Caenorhabditis elegans: one gene and its partner. The protein of the gene in region 2 interacts with the protein of the main gene of each other region in a pairwise test. Each region holds a gene or a part of one and is shown on either strand. Other genes may lie near its edges.

The links.
Region 1: the proteins of scrm-1 (region 2) and abu-14 interact in a two-hybrid assay, tested with the Caenorhabditis elegans proteins (one study listed by BioGRID).

What each region holds. Positions count from the first base shown.
Region 1 is NC_003280.10:9,223,408-9,229,848, forward strand, and holds abu-14 (Activated in Blocked Unfolded protein response), read right to left. Parts: upstream 3,808-6,441; 5' UTR 3,751-3,807; coding exon 3,661-3,750; intron 3,081-3,660; coding exon 2,283-3,080; intron 2,239-2,282; coding exon 2,005-2,238; 3' UTR 1,779-2,004; downstream 1-1,778. Other genes in the region: ZK1067.3 (uncharacterized protein), read left to right, coding at 1-260, 308-397, 444-704, 754-896, 949-1,210, 1,632-1,682.
Region 2 is NC_003279.8:11,687,448-11,694,231, forward strand, and holds scrm-1 (Phospholipid scramblase), read right to left. Parts: upstream 3,384-6,784; 5' UTR 3,375-3,383; coding exon 2,970-3,374; intron 2,857-2,969; coding exon 2,605-2,856; intron 2,199-2,604; coding exon 2,096-2,198; intron 2,050-2,095; coding exon 1,991-2,049; intron 1,944-1,990; coding exon 1,898-1,943; coding exon of another isoform or gene 1,890-1,897; exon of another isoform or gene 1,667-1,889; coding exon of another isoform or gene 1,662-1,666; exon of another isoform or gene 1,542-1,661; coding exon 1,519-1,541; 3' UTR 1,235-1,518; downstream 1-1,234.

The DNA of each region.
Region 1 (6,441 bases), on a different chromosome or scaffold from region 2:
CATCGATTGCTCCAAAACAGTCGGTAGCTCCGATGGTTTCCATGGCCCCTCAACAATCTATTGCTCAAAACAGTTCCACAGCTTTGAGGAACCCAGTCAGTCAAGTTGAACCTGAGGACGACTTCAAAATCGATCAAAATTCGCTAGATATGATTAAAAGTGGACGAATCGTCATTCCAGTGAATCGTCCATCGATAGCTGCGCCACGTCATACATTCGGAGCCAGAGAGTCATTGATTGGAAAGCCTATGAGCAGATTTGTAAGGACTTTATATTAGAAATGAACTTCATGAACTTTTTGTTTCAGAGAGCCTCGATCGCTTCCCGGGAGCCACGTGTAAGCTTGATGCCACTTGGTATTAATGTCTTCGAAGCAAATTCATCTCAAAGGAATGAGGTATTTGGATTGATATTTCTTGATTTTTAAGTTATGATTTTTTCAGGTCTCAGAATTTCTGAACAATATCACCTCTGGAGCAACTCCAGGCAAACCATCCTCTACCAACAACTCGCTCAATACCACGGGCAATCGTCAGCGAAAAATTCGATTTTTCGAAGTTGAATCCGCAATTCAGGAGGCGCGAGAGTCAGCTGAAGCTGATGGAATAGCTGCTTGTTCTTCTTCAGATGTTAGGCACAGTCCTATTTCGGATCTCAGTTTCAAGCCAACATCAATTTTATCGACGAAGAAGGCTGATAGAAAAGTATCATTGCTTATTATCCAATTTTCTTTCTAAAAAAAGGCTTTTCCAGAAGATCAATCTTGCCAATTGTCCATCGAAAACTCCTAGAACTGTTCTAAACTTTGATGAGACTGATAGCATGAACGATTCGTTGAATCAAGAAATGGAAGAAAAAGAAAAGGAAAATCACATTCAAGTGATCAGTTTTCAAACGTTAGTTAATTTCTAAAATTTAACGATTGTAATAATTCTTCATCTTTTCCAGAGTTCTATCGACACTTTGCGATCTAAAACCAGGTCTCTCCAAATATCATATTGCACTTATTGAAAAGTCAATCGAGAACTGGAAGAATATCTCCGCAGTGAAATCGCCAGAGAAAAACTCCCATGGTCCAATTCCGATTACTCCTCTCGGTTCGATCTTGGAAGCTATGAATATTGCCGAAGAAGATTCCGATGTGCAGGAATATGTTCCAGAGAAAAAGAAAAAACGACGAAGCTCAATGATGAAAGCTGGTGCTGTAAGGGTATGTGCATTTTTATAACAAGCATGTGCTCTTTTTTCAAAATTTTTAATTTTCTATCGAATTATGGAATTTTCATTCATTAATTGAAAAATTCTTTAGTGTTTGATTCGATACTTTGTCATTTTTTCAGAAAGTTTTCCGAAAAAAAAGAGTTGAAACTAATGCTACATTACTCATTTCTAGGCTAATTTTGAAATTTCGACGACTTTTTTTTGGGTGACAATTAAAAAAGATCAAGGAAAAAATCAAGAGAAACCAATGAATAAAAAACGCGAAAATTTTGAAACTTCTGTCGAAAATTCGAATTTGTTTCAGTAACTTCGTTTATATTTGCAAAATTCGGAATAAAATCAATAATAAATTTAGAAAAACTGTTAATTTGGATACATTTGTTTTTCTTCTTTTTAAATTTTTTTTTCAGCGTCGCTCAACCCTTCGTCGCTCAGCTCGAGGACTATTCAAACAGGACTAAACAATACAATTTATTATATGATGATTGATTACTGTGAATATATGTGATTTTTTATTTTATGTTTTGCCGAATGAAAACATTTCTTGTATAATTCTTAAATTAGAATAATTTATTGTCGAAACTCAAGGACAATGAAACATCATGAAAAAGAAGGGAACAATAATAAAATAATTAGACACCTCACATGGCTACCACTTATTTACAGACAATGTCATAATAAAAGTTATGTGAGAAGTGGGATGGGGAAACGAAAACAGAAGTTGTCGCATAGAAAACGCGGATACGGTAAGAATTCGTTCATAGAATTCAGGGAAGGGGATGCTTAACGACGACGGCAGCATGATCCACCGCATTGAGAATATCCAGATGAGCATCCACATCCAGAAGAGCTCGATTGGCATGGAACAACGATTTGAGCGGCTTGTTGACAGGTATTCTGGCAGGTTTGTTGGCAAATTGGCTGGCATTGAAGAACGGTAGCCGATGATTGGCAAGTGTTCATGCAGGAAGATTGACATTGATTCTGGCAGTTGTCTTGTTGTTGGAGGACAATGACCTGTAATATTGATTCATGAATTAATGGAAAATCAATATTATTACCTGTTGTTGGTTGCAGCTGTTTCCGGAGCAAGAGTTCGAGCACTGGGATTGACATTGAGAGTTGCACTGTTGGACACAGATTGGAGTTGGGCAGGCAGACTGGCACTGGTTGGAGCACGAGTTGGAGCATGAGTCTCCTTGTTGAGCGACGATGACGATTGGAGCCTGGTTGGATGTGCAGCTAGACGAGCAGGATGGCATGCATTGTGGCTGGCAGGTTGGCTGGCAGGCCTGTTGGCAGGAGGATTGGCAGGACTGAATGCAGATTGGGGTGCTGCAGGAGCTGGAGCACTGGTTGTTACAGTTGGATGAGCATGAGTTGTCCTGTTGAACAACGATGATTTGCTGATTGTTGTTGTTTCCTCCACAGGCTGGAGCACAAGCAGATTGGCAGTTGCATGTTGGGCAAGTCTGTTGGCAGGAAGACTGGCATGATCCACATTGGTTCTGTTGTGGTTGGAGAACGACAATTTGTGGAGCAGAGTTTCCGCAAGAGCTGGAGCATTGGTTGTTGCAGGATTGAGCACAGATTGGGGTGGCACAGGAGCTGATGCATTGTTGTTGGCATTGGTTGCAGTTGTTGGTTTGTGGAAGAAGGATGACTTGGTTGTTTCCTCCGCACTGTTGGTTACAAGCTGGCTGACATTGTTGGATGCATTGGGATGTTTGGCATGAGCTCTGGCACTGTTGCAGACAAACTGGGATGCATTGCACGTTGTTGTTGTTTCCGCAGCATGAGTTGGAGTTGGATGAACAGCACTGTCTCTTGGCACGCGACAACGCCAATCCGGTCTCGTTCTGCAGTTATTTAGGGCTCTTTTGTTTGACCGTAAGGAAAGACAGTGTGCTTAGATTTTTGCGCGCACACTCTGGGGGGCAATCGCGGAGAGAATCTTCATGCGCCCTTTGTTTACACTATCATTTTTCCTGTTTTTATCGGAGGGGAAAGAGCAGGAGAAGAAGCCAGCTGACCCCTTGAAATGACCACTTCACTTTGTATTAGTGAGGTCTCAAGGAATGGCCAATGACGGGAATAAATGAAATAAGAGTCTAGACAGTCATAAGGAAGCATCATAGTTAAAATTGAAAAGTTATTTAAACAAATGATTGCTGAAATTTGGATCCTGATGTACTAGACGCTATGCTTCAATTGGGCATGATCAATAAGATCATGATCATAACCAGCTTGTTCCTAAAGCCTATTCATTATTCCTATTCATGCACATTGTGCATTCAATACCCACATCCGCGCCGTGTCCTAATGGTTAGGTACACAGAAAACACGAAAATAATAGTGAGCATAAAAGAGGGAAAGTATGACTGAATGCTTAAATAAATGTTCAAAAGTACAAAAGTAGTATTTAAAAAAGAAATTTACCTTGACAGTCTCTTCGTCAGCGAAGACGAAGGTACTGGAGAGGGCCAGAACGGCGATAAGAAGAATCGAAGCTGCTCTGCGGGCTGCCATTGAAACAAAAATGTGGGGAATAATGAGTTGGGTAAAAGAAGGAGAAGGACTAGAACTCGAAGGCTCTGTATTCTGTCCAGATGGCACTGCGTACCTTTTATATAGCGGCGGGAGATGGGTGGGGGTAATGGGGAGGAAGGCGCCGGCGGTCGGTCGGTCGCGGCACACTTCGACTCCGCCCCGCGCGGAGCCAGGAGTGCTTAAGCGTTCGAAACAACTCCTTGAATCGGAGGATTGAGGGAGAGTCCAGTACCCTCAAGAGATCTCATCTTTTTGCCTGGAGATAGTGATTGAGACAATGAGGACTAGACGAAAAACATTTCATAATTCATACTCGGAAACCGGAGGTCCTCAAAGCCTTGAAGGGTACTGTAGTTTTGAAATAACCTGTATGACTTGAAGCTTGTATACTTTAGAACTATTCACCAAATGAGTGGATTATTTGTTCAGCTTTGGTAAATTATATAGCTACCAGTAAATTTTCGGAGTAAACCAAAGAATATGATAACGCAACTTGGTAGTTTTTTGAAGCGCATGCTGAAATAAAAATGGTCACACAGCGAAAAATAATTTAATTATCTTTCTTGATTTGTGATTTTAAAAGTTTTTACCACGACTGCTCTAATTTGACGACTCATATCTCGACTGTCATGAGTTATATCAAAAAATGTTCTACTATTGATATATAGATAAACATTTTACACGCATTTGGTTTGTTGACAATTTTTTGATAAAACCAAAGAGAACCGAGATATAAGCTTTCAATGTAAAGCAAAGACAATTCAAAAAACGCTGCTAAAATTGTTTATTTTTCAAAATCTTTCAGTACCTGGAAATATTAAAATCGGTACAATACTTGGATTTTTTAACGTTTTAGATGCACATAATTTATTATGTGTGTGACTTCCTTTTTCAATTTTTCTAAATAAAATTCCATGACCAATGCTTCTAGTTTCCAAATGTTCCGGACACTCTTAGCTTAGATATCAAAAATCTCTGCTTATCACTAAATACAGTATGCTCTCAATGCTCATTTGCTCTCTTCTTCTACCCGCATACTTTTTCATTCTCCTTATGCCCTTTGTAGGAATGTCGTCCCTGCTGACCCCCTCTCGCGAGCAATCATCATCCATAAATAGCAGCAACCGCACTGATTATCTTGTTTAGTTCAAGTTGCGCAATTTTTCGCTTCAAGTATTTCGAACATCTATAAAAAGATGCTCGGAGAAGACTGCTTACATAAAAACACATGTTTGTCGCTTTTCGTATCTCCAAATCTAGCCTGTTCTTTATCTCTTGATCTCCCCTACTTCACAGTGAATAAAAACATTTTTCATTCACATTCTTCATGAACCTGATGAAAAGTTGGTCAACTAAAACTCACACAATTGAAGTATTTGCTTACTTTTCGTATTGAATTTAATGGTCACTTTACCAATGCAATGCAGCTGGTTGCCATGTGAATTCAATTGTGACGTGGAACACGTGGAAAACAACTAGAAACTCCGAGAGGACCGGATTTCTGGGTCAGACATTGATGAGTCATACGGAATCACATCATTTGACAGTTTTAACCGTCTGGAGGCTCCCGGTTGGCAAATAGAAATTTCAATTGAACGCATTTCGTTGTGAGCAGCAATGTATGTAGTTTCTTGTTTTTGACGAGAGCTTATCACGTACAAATTCAGACTACGGTAAAATATTTTCGAAGAGGTACGCATCAATTGTATGTTACACAATCTAGTACCAATTTTTCCTGTTTATGTTTCAGGGCTCGTCGAAGTTGTCAGTAGTAGTAGATATACTTGAACCAATTATGATATCAACTTCCCTACTCATAAATCATGTCAATTTGATATTATTATGTGTACTATAGCTCCCTGCAATATACCTCGGTATTTGCCGGTTAATTTCTGCCTAATTTCGAATAAAAACAATGTACAACTTCTCTTCTAGTTGCACCTTTACAGAAATTCTCAAATGATTCATCCCGTCATTTGTCGGTAAGTCTCTGAACATAAGTTCAATGAATCAAGGTAAGTCAACATGAGTCGTTTCTTCTGTCTTTACTGCGCAGAGCATCGTAAACTGATCACCGAAACAGTTTCCAACTGTATGACTTCTCTTTTTGAGCTAGAGATTTTCCGGTTTAGCTTAATTGAATGGAACATTGTTTGATATTGCAATTGTGCCTATTTATGTTCTTTGACAATTTTTGATAGACATCAAAATTTCAACTTTTAATATATGTTTTGAAAATAGAGATTTTCTGTGAATGTGAAATTTCTCAGGAAAATAGCATTAAATTTTTTTTTTACAATTGCTACTGAACATTTGGAACGGAGTAATTTTTGAACCAAAAATCAAAAAGTGTTGTTTCTATAGCCAGTTTTGGAGCCAGTTTTCCTGTTGTAATTTCCTCTCAAACGATGTTTGGTGTATGTTTCAACGTGTTCTAATCCACGTGTACTTTTCCATGCGCGACCTACATTCAAACAATGATTGCTTTTAAAAAACCGGATCGGTGCAAAAAATGCGTAATACGTTGACACGGTGGGAGGAGGTGCACCCAACATTATAATACTTTTCTTGGAGAAAAGAGAAAGAGAGAGAGAGAGAAGGAAATGGGTGAAATGAGCACATGTTTGTCTGTATATTGTCTTCTCAGGAAACATTTGTGCAAGGAATTGC
Region 2 (6,784 bases):
GGATGGAAATGGTGAAGAAAGGTCCTGAATCACAGTGTCTGCGGATGGGTAGCCGCTGACTCGTCTGGTGAAGGTAGAACAGAATGAACGATTGGCCTAAAAGTAGGATAGAATTATTGTGTGGATTTACGGAGCTACGACGCTCCGGAGTAACGGGAGGTCTCGGAGGAGCGCGCTTGCATCGGGAAATACGCAAATGGCGGTAATTCAAAAGGGAATTATTATTAATAGATAATAAACGGAAAAGGACAACGGAGAGTGAATGTATTCGCGGATAATGAGTGGTGGCGAGTGGGTGAGCCTGACCGGTCATATATCTGCAAAGTTGGGACGCAGGGGAAGCGTTAGGCCCAAGTCACAACAGGAGGTGTCTTCTGTGGATCATTTGAATGTAGTCAACACGAATGTACTATTGAATCTCCTTCAATAGGTCTTCTGGGTACAGTCCGTCAACGACATGGTTGTGTATCCACTAACTATAATGTTTTGGACAAGGATGGAAATGTGATTTTCCTAATTGATGGGCCGGACTGTTGTACACAATGCTTTTGTGAAGATTAGGATTTTATGGTGAATCTTCAGCAGGAAAATGGCCACTTGCGTAGACAATTCCAGATTAAAACTGCCGATAACTATGAGCTCATCGGTTCAATCACCAAAAAGTGGGGTGGTGTACTTCGTGAGGCGTTCACTGACGCGGACACTTTTGCCGTCTTATGTAGGTTTAATTGAAAAAAGCTAAAATAACCCCTGGCTATTATCAGTCCCCGCCGACTTTGATGTCAAGCTCAAGGCTGTGCTCCTTGGAGCCACGTTTTTGATTGTGAGTTTTTTTGGTTTTTAGGGCAGCCGGTAAATATTTCAAACATCTCTTTCACTTGGTACACCATGATCTCATCTAAGTATGCAAGGTACTCTAGGCCGGCGGGAACCCCTTCAATTGCTGGGAGCGCTTCCATTCAGATGGATCCTGGAGCCGCTTGTATCGGAGCTCCCGGTTGAGTTGTAATAACAGCTCGGTCTTGCAGTTCAACGTAAACCGGTGGAGCAGGGTTAAGAAGTTCTTGCTCCATTTTTTCAACCTGAAAATTTTGCAAATAGAGCTGATCCTGTAGCAAAGGGCTCGCGGAGCAAAGCGTTTTGGAGCACATTTCATAGTGAGCAAAAATACACATTTCGTGAATTTTACACTTTAAATAATCAATATATGTAGTAAACTATTTGAATTATCGATTTTTCAAAAACAATTTATTTTTGATATATAATTTTGTGAGAAAAAAGTGGGTGGGACAGACACTGAAAACTAGAAGAAATGGGCGGGGCTTGGAGACCTGAGAGTGGGCGGGGCTTAACAAGGAAATGTGGGCGGAGTCTGAAGGAAAGTGACGTCATACATATATTGGAAGAATGCGTTGGAATAATAAGAAAAACGTTTTTAAAAAAGTTGGCTTTTAACAATTACAGTCACAATTGCAATCACAACCATCGGGGCAGCAGCATGCGGAGCTTGCTGTACCTTTAAGAAGAACTGTAATAGGCTCCTGGAATTAAAAAAAGGTCAATTGACAAAAAACCGGGATTGCATACCAAATTATGCTCTAATCACCGAAAAACACAGCAAAAATGTAAAGCAAATGGTAGAGGGTTAAGCAGACGGACGGTTAGACTGAAAAAGCAAAAAAAAATTGATAATTCAAGCGAAAATCCATAATTATCCCAAAAATCAATAATTTGGACGAAAATTCATATTTTAGGGAAGACACCAATCCTTTTTCAATATTCGATAATTTTCACATAAATCAATAGTTTTTTTTAGACAAAAGTTGATAATTTAAGCAAAAATCAATAATTTCCACAACAAAAAAACTTCTGTTAGCAAAAAGCGATAATCACAAACCTCCGTTATTGCGGTTTTGGCTCTGTTGCTCAAACTCCATGAAATCCTGAAAAATTAGCAAAGTTACAGTAATTCTACAGCAACCAAACTTACAATCAAAAACGTGGCTCCTATCAGTACTCCTTTGAGTTTGACGTCCAGGTCGCCGGGGACTGAAAATTGCAAGAATTATTGATTGTATGGACGGGGGCGACTTACAGTTGACGGCGAACGTGTCGGCGTCGGTGAACGCCTCTCGGAAGCAACCTCCCCATTTTTTGGTGATCGCGCCGACAACTGTGCCGTTGTTGGCGGTTTTGATCTGAAAATTTTGAGGGTATTGAAGCAGCGGACATTTTAGGGGGATAGGATCTTCAGCCGGTAGCTCACTGGCTTCCCGACAGACCCGCAAAGTGTCGGCTGCTCGGCAACCGCTGTTTCTTGGGTTATTCGACAAAGCCGCTAGGTGTCGGCTGCACAGCACAAGTCAGCAAAGCAGGTGGTTCAAGCAGCCGACACTTTACGGGTGGCCAGTAATCCTAGTAAATTGCGGCCGACGCCTCACTGGCAAAACCTCAGATAAAGGGCCGGTGAAAATTTTGGGATTTTCAATACATTCACAGCCTCAGGTAATATTTAGCGGCCGACATTTCACAGCACCTTGCAATCAGACAAGCTAGCATGTACCTTGCAGCCGACACCTCTCAGGACCCTAGAACTTCACCTACCGGAAACTCCTTATCCTGACATCCGCAAAGCATGCAACAGCATGGACCATCAATCTGGAAGATCACATTTCCATCTCCATCCATAATATCATAATTCGACGACATGCATCCACACCGCTGACGGATGATACCCAGAACACCCATCGATGGGGTCTCGATGATACATTCCTGCTGGCAGCATCCGATGCATGCCAAGCATCCACAGCAACCACCTCCGCAACACTTGAACTCACGCTTGATGGTCAGAACTTCCTGGAAAATTTGAAATTTCAGAGCATGTGGATCAATTTTGGCTTGGTAGGCCTGAAAATTTGGGCTCAGGATTGCTCCGCGAGCTTGTTGAACCAGATGCTCCGTGAGCTTACCCTCTTAAAGTTATCCACAATATGCATGACGAATCCACGTTGCGGTCCACAGCACTGTCTCTCACAGCATCCGGACTCCTCGAACGCGTAGTAACACTGTTCTCCATTTGCATTCTTGAGCACGTACTTGTTCTTGGTCTCCCAGTCCGTCACAATCTCGATGAGCTCCTTGATTTGATGCACCATGATTGTATCCAAGTAGGTAAGATACTCCAGGCCTGTAGGCACACCTTGGATTGCTGGTGGCATTGGCATCCACACGGAGCCAGGAGCCGGCTGCACAAAGACACCTGGCTGAGTTGTGATTGCTTGTTGGTGCTGCTGCTGATGCATTTCGAATTGTTGCACTGGATTCATACCCTGTGGGTTGTAGCCCGGTTGTTGGTTTATTACTGGTTGCTGCATGGTTATTTTCTGAAAAAAAAACACTTGAAAAATGAACAAAGCACAGTAGATTTAGAAAAAATTTCAAGATAAAAATCAGCAGGAGGAAAGTTCTGGGGCACCTAGACTTTTTGTAGAATCAAATAGTAAAGTTTTTATGGGCTCGCGGAGCAACAGGAACTGATACAATTCAGCGCTACAATCTGGTAAGCATAGTGATTCACGTGACGTGAAAAAAAAGATGCTCCGTGAGCTTGCACAAAAATGTTTTCGAATTTGATCTAAATTTACAAAACTTCAGCTTTAAAGCTTTCAGCTCGCGGAGCACCAATTGAGCTCAGTCTTAAACATTCTTAAAATTAGAAAATATGGCTCTCAAGCTCCTGAAAGCTGAAATCAAATTTCATAATAAAAAGCTTTACATATCAAAAGTTCAATGACGCCATACAACTCAATGATTAGAGGGGAATAAGGAGAAGCAATTTGTGCACGGCACAGACAATTTTAAATCTGATTAAAACAACCTCTATTTCTGGCTCTCAGAGCACCAAATTCAGATGTGGGCTCAATCTTGCTAGATTCAGCTAGCTGAAAGCTTTAGTTTGACACCCATAATGCCTATGCTACCTCAAACTTAATGTAGGGCTCTGTTGCTCCGTGAGCACAGAACACTCCAAATCGTAATTAATCCTGCTGCTCAATTCACTAAAAATTTGAAAACTTGGCATCCATATTGTATAGATTACTTTAGTTTGAAAATTTCCGCTTTCATGCTTCCGTGGAGCACCAAAATGCTTCGCGAGCTCAACGTGAAAAATATTGAAACCTAGGCAATATGGGGCTTGAATTGACGCTCTAAGGGAGCTGAACTTATAATAAAAATTTTATGATAAAAATTAACAATGGCGTTATTTTTTTAAACAAAAAATTGCGGAGCACCAAAATGCTCCGTGAGCTCAATATGGAAAACACTGAAACCTAGGCAATATGGGGCTTAAATCAAAGCTCTTAAAAAGCTGAACTCAAATTCGTATTAAAAAAAAAATTTAGTGATTGTGAATAAAATAGAAAATAATGTGGGTAATTTCAGACAACGTTTTTGGAATTATGTATACCCTTAGGGTTTTAGTTAAAATATACCCATTTTGTCTGAAATTACCCACATTATTTTCTATTTTATTCACAATCACTAAATTTTTTTTTAATACGAATTTGAGTTCAGCTTTTTAAGAGCTTTGATTTAAGCCCCATATTGCCTAGGTTTCAGTGTTTTCCATATTGAGCTCACGGAGCATTTTGGTGCTTCGCAATTTTTTGTTTAAAAAAATAACGTTTTTGGAATTATGTATACCCTTAGGGTTTTAGTTAAAATATACCCATTTTATCATATTATCAGAGGTTCCACTAAAAAGTAGATACTAAGAATGGTTTTTCAATGAAAAAATGGGCGAAACATTTTCACCAGTTTTCCAAAAAATCATAAGTCAGCCAGCTAACTACACAAACAAAAGGGTTGCGTGGCCGGAATACGGAAAAGATCAAAAAATTAGGAGAGACGCAGAGAAATCAAAGATTTTCAGCTGTCTACTTGCGATAGCTACCATGGTAACCATTTAATACATATGATTAAGGCCAAACAACACTTTTTTTCGCTTTTTTTGTTGAATTAAAAAACGTGTTTGAATCATAGAGAAAGTAGGGGAGAGAAATGGAAAAACGTGAAAAATGAAAGAGAAAAAAAAACCAATGAAATTTGAACAGAAAACAGTGGTGATTCAGCAAATATACAAAATACAAAACTACTTTTTTTTGAGTGACGTCACTTTTTATTGCGAAAGTTGCTCGGAAAGCTCAGAAATAATATCATAGAAGTTTTTGAGAACTTGAAAAAATTCGAAAATTAGAAAATTAAATTGAAAAAAAAAAATTTTTCATAAAATTTTTAAAATTTTCTAATGGAAAATAATATATTTTTCAAAGGGTTTCTTAATTTTTTTTTGGAAATTTTTAGAGTTTTTTCCGTGTACAAAGGTTTTACAGGCTCAATTGGATTTTCTGAAAATTTCGAACAAAATTCATTTTTAATTTTTTTTTGTGTAATTTGAAAATATTCCAATATTAAAAAAATATTTTAGAAGGTTTCTTGTATTTTCGGAGTTTTAAAGCATTTTTGAGAGAAAAAAATTGGAAATTTTCTGGAATTTTTTTTCAGGGAAACAGGTTATTTTTCAGAGTAGATTTTTAGAAATTTAAAGAAATTTAACTATTTTCGTGCAATTTAAATTTTTTTCTTTAACTAATATATTTTTAACAGAGCTTTTTTTCCATTTTGAGAATTTTATAGATTTTATGAGAAACACTTTTTTTTAGAAACACAAAACAAGTTTTTTTTCACTAATTTTTTTCCGAAACAAATATTGTCTAGACACAGGTACGCGGGTACCCATGACGAACAAAAACAACCCGATCAGATGCGATTTTTGACCCATCGCTAATTGGGCAATTTTTCTGCGGAACCGGTTTCAATTCTGTGGGGTAAATCTTTGCCTCTTTTTAATCTAAATAACAATTTAATTTTGGCAACACTTTTCTTTTTTTTGGATTAATTTTCATGTAAAATTTACAATTTAGGATTTAATTTTAATATTATTTTTTAAGAAAAAAATTGCAATGTTTTTGTATTTTTTCAGTCCGAAATTTGCAGAAAAAAATTCATTTTGAAAGTTAAAAAATCCTAACAAATCAGGAGAAAACAAATTAAAAACACTCGGAAGTTGAAAAACTAAAGAAAATAAATTCCACAAAAAACTGGTCGAAAATGAGAAACATTTGTTTTGTTGTGGCTAAAAGAGCGTGAAACAAAGAGAGAGGGAGAGGACGCAGAGATAAAAAGGCACCTAGAGAGTGTTGGGGTGGTGAGAGACGCAGAGATGAAGAGGGAAAGGGAGGAGACTAGACACAAACATATGAGGAACACACGTTGCAGGGGTGTGTTCTGGTGTACTAAACCAAACGGGAAATTATTTTTTCAAGGTTTTTAATTAAAAGTAGACAAATGATATCTGCGCATTTCTGAGCATTTACCTTACTTGAGCCAGCAGAAATTTCAGAAAACAAATTTTTTTCCGATGCAAAATTTAACACTGAACATTTTGCTAGTTGAAAGTTTTTTGATATCTTTAGCCGTTTTTGAGATAATTTGGTTCAAAGTTTGAGGTGGAAGAGAGTGTGGGAGAGAGGAGACGCAGAGGGTTAGACACACTGCGTCTCCCCTCCCTCCACGCTATCTCGCGCTAAACTTTAAAACATTGTATCTCTGATACCGCTGAAGATATTTAAATTCTTTCAACTGAGGAAATACTTTAAAACTTATGAGCTTCACATTTTCAAAAGCAAAATAAAATAACACTTTGATAAAATAGTAGGATTTA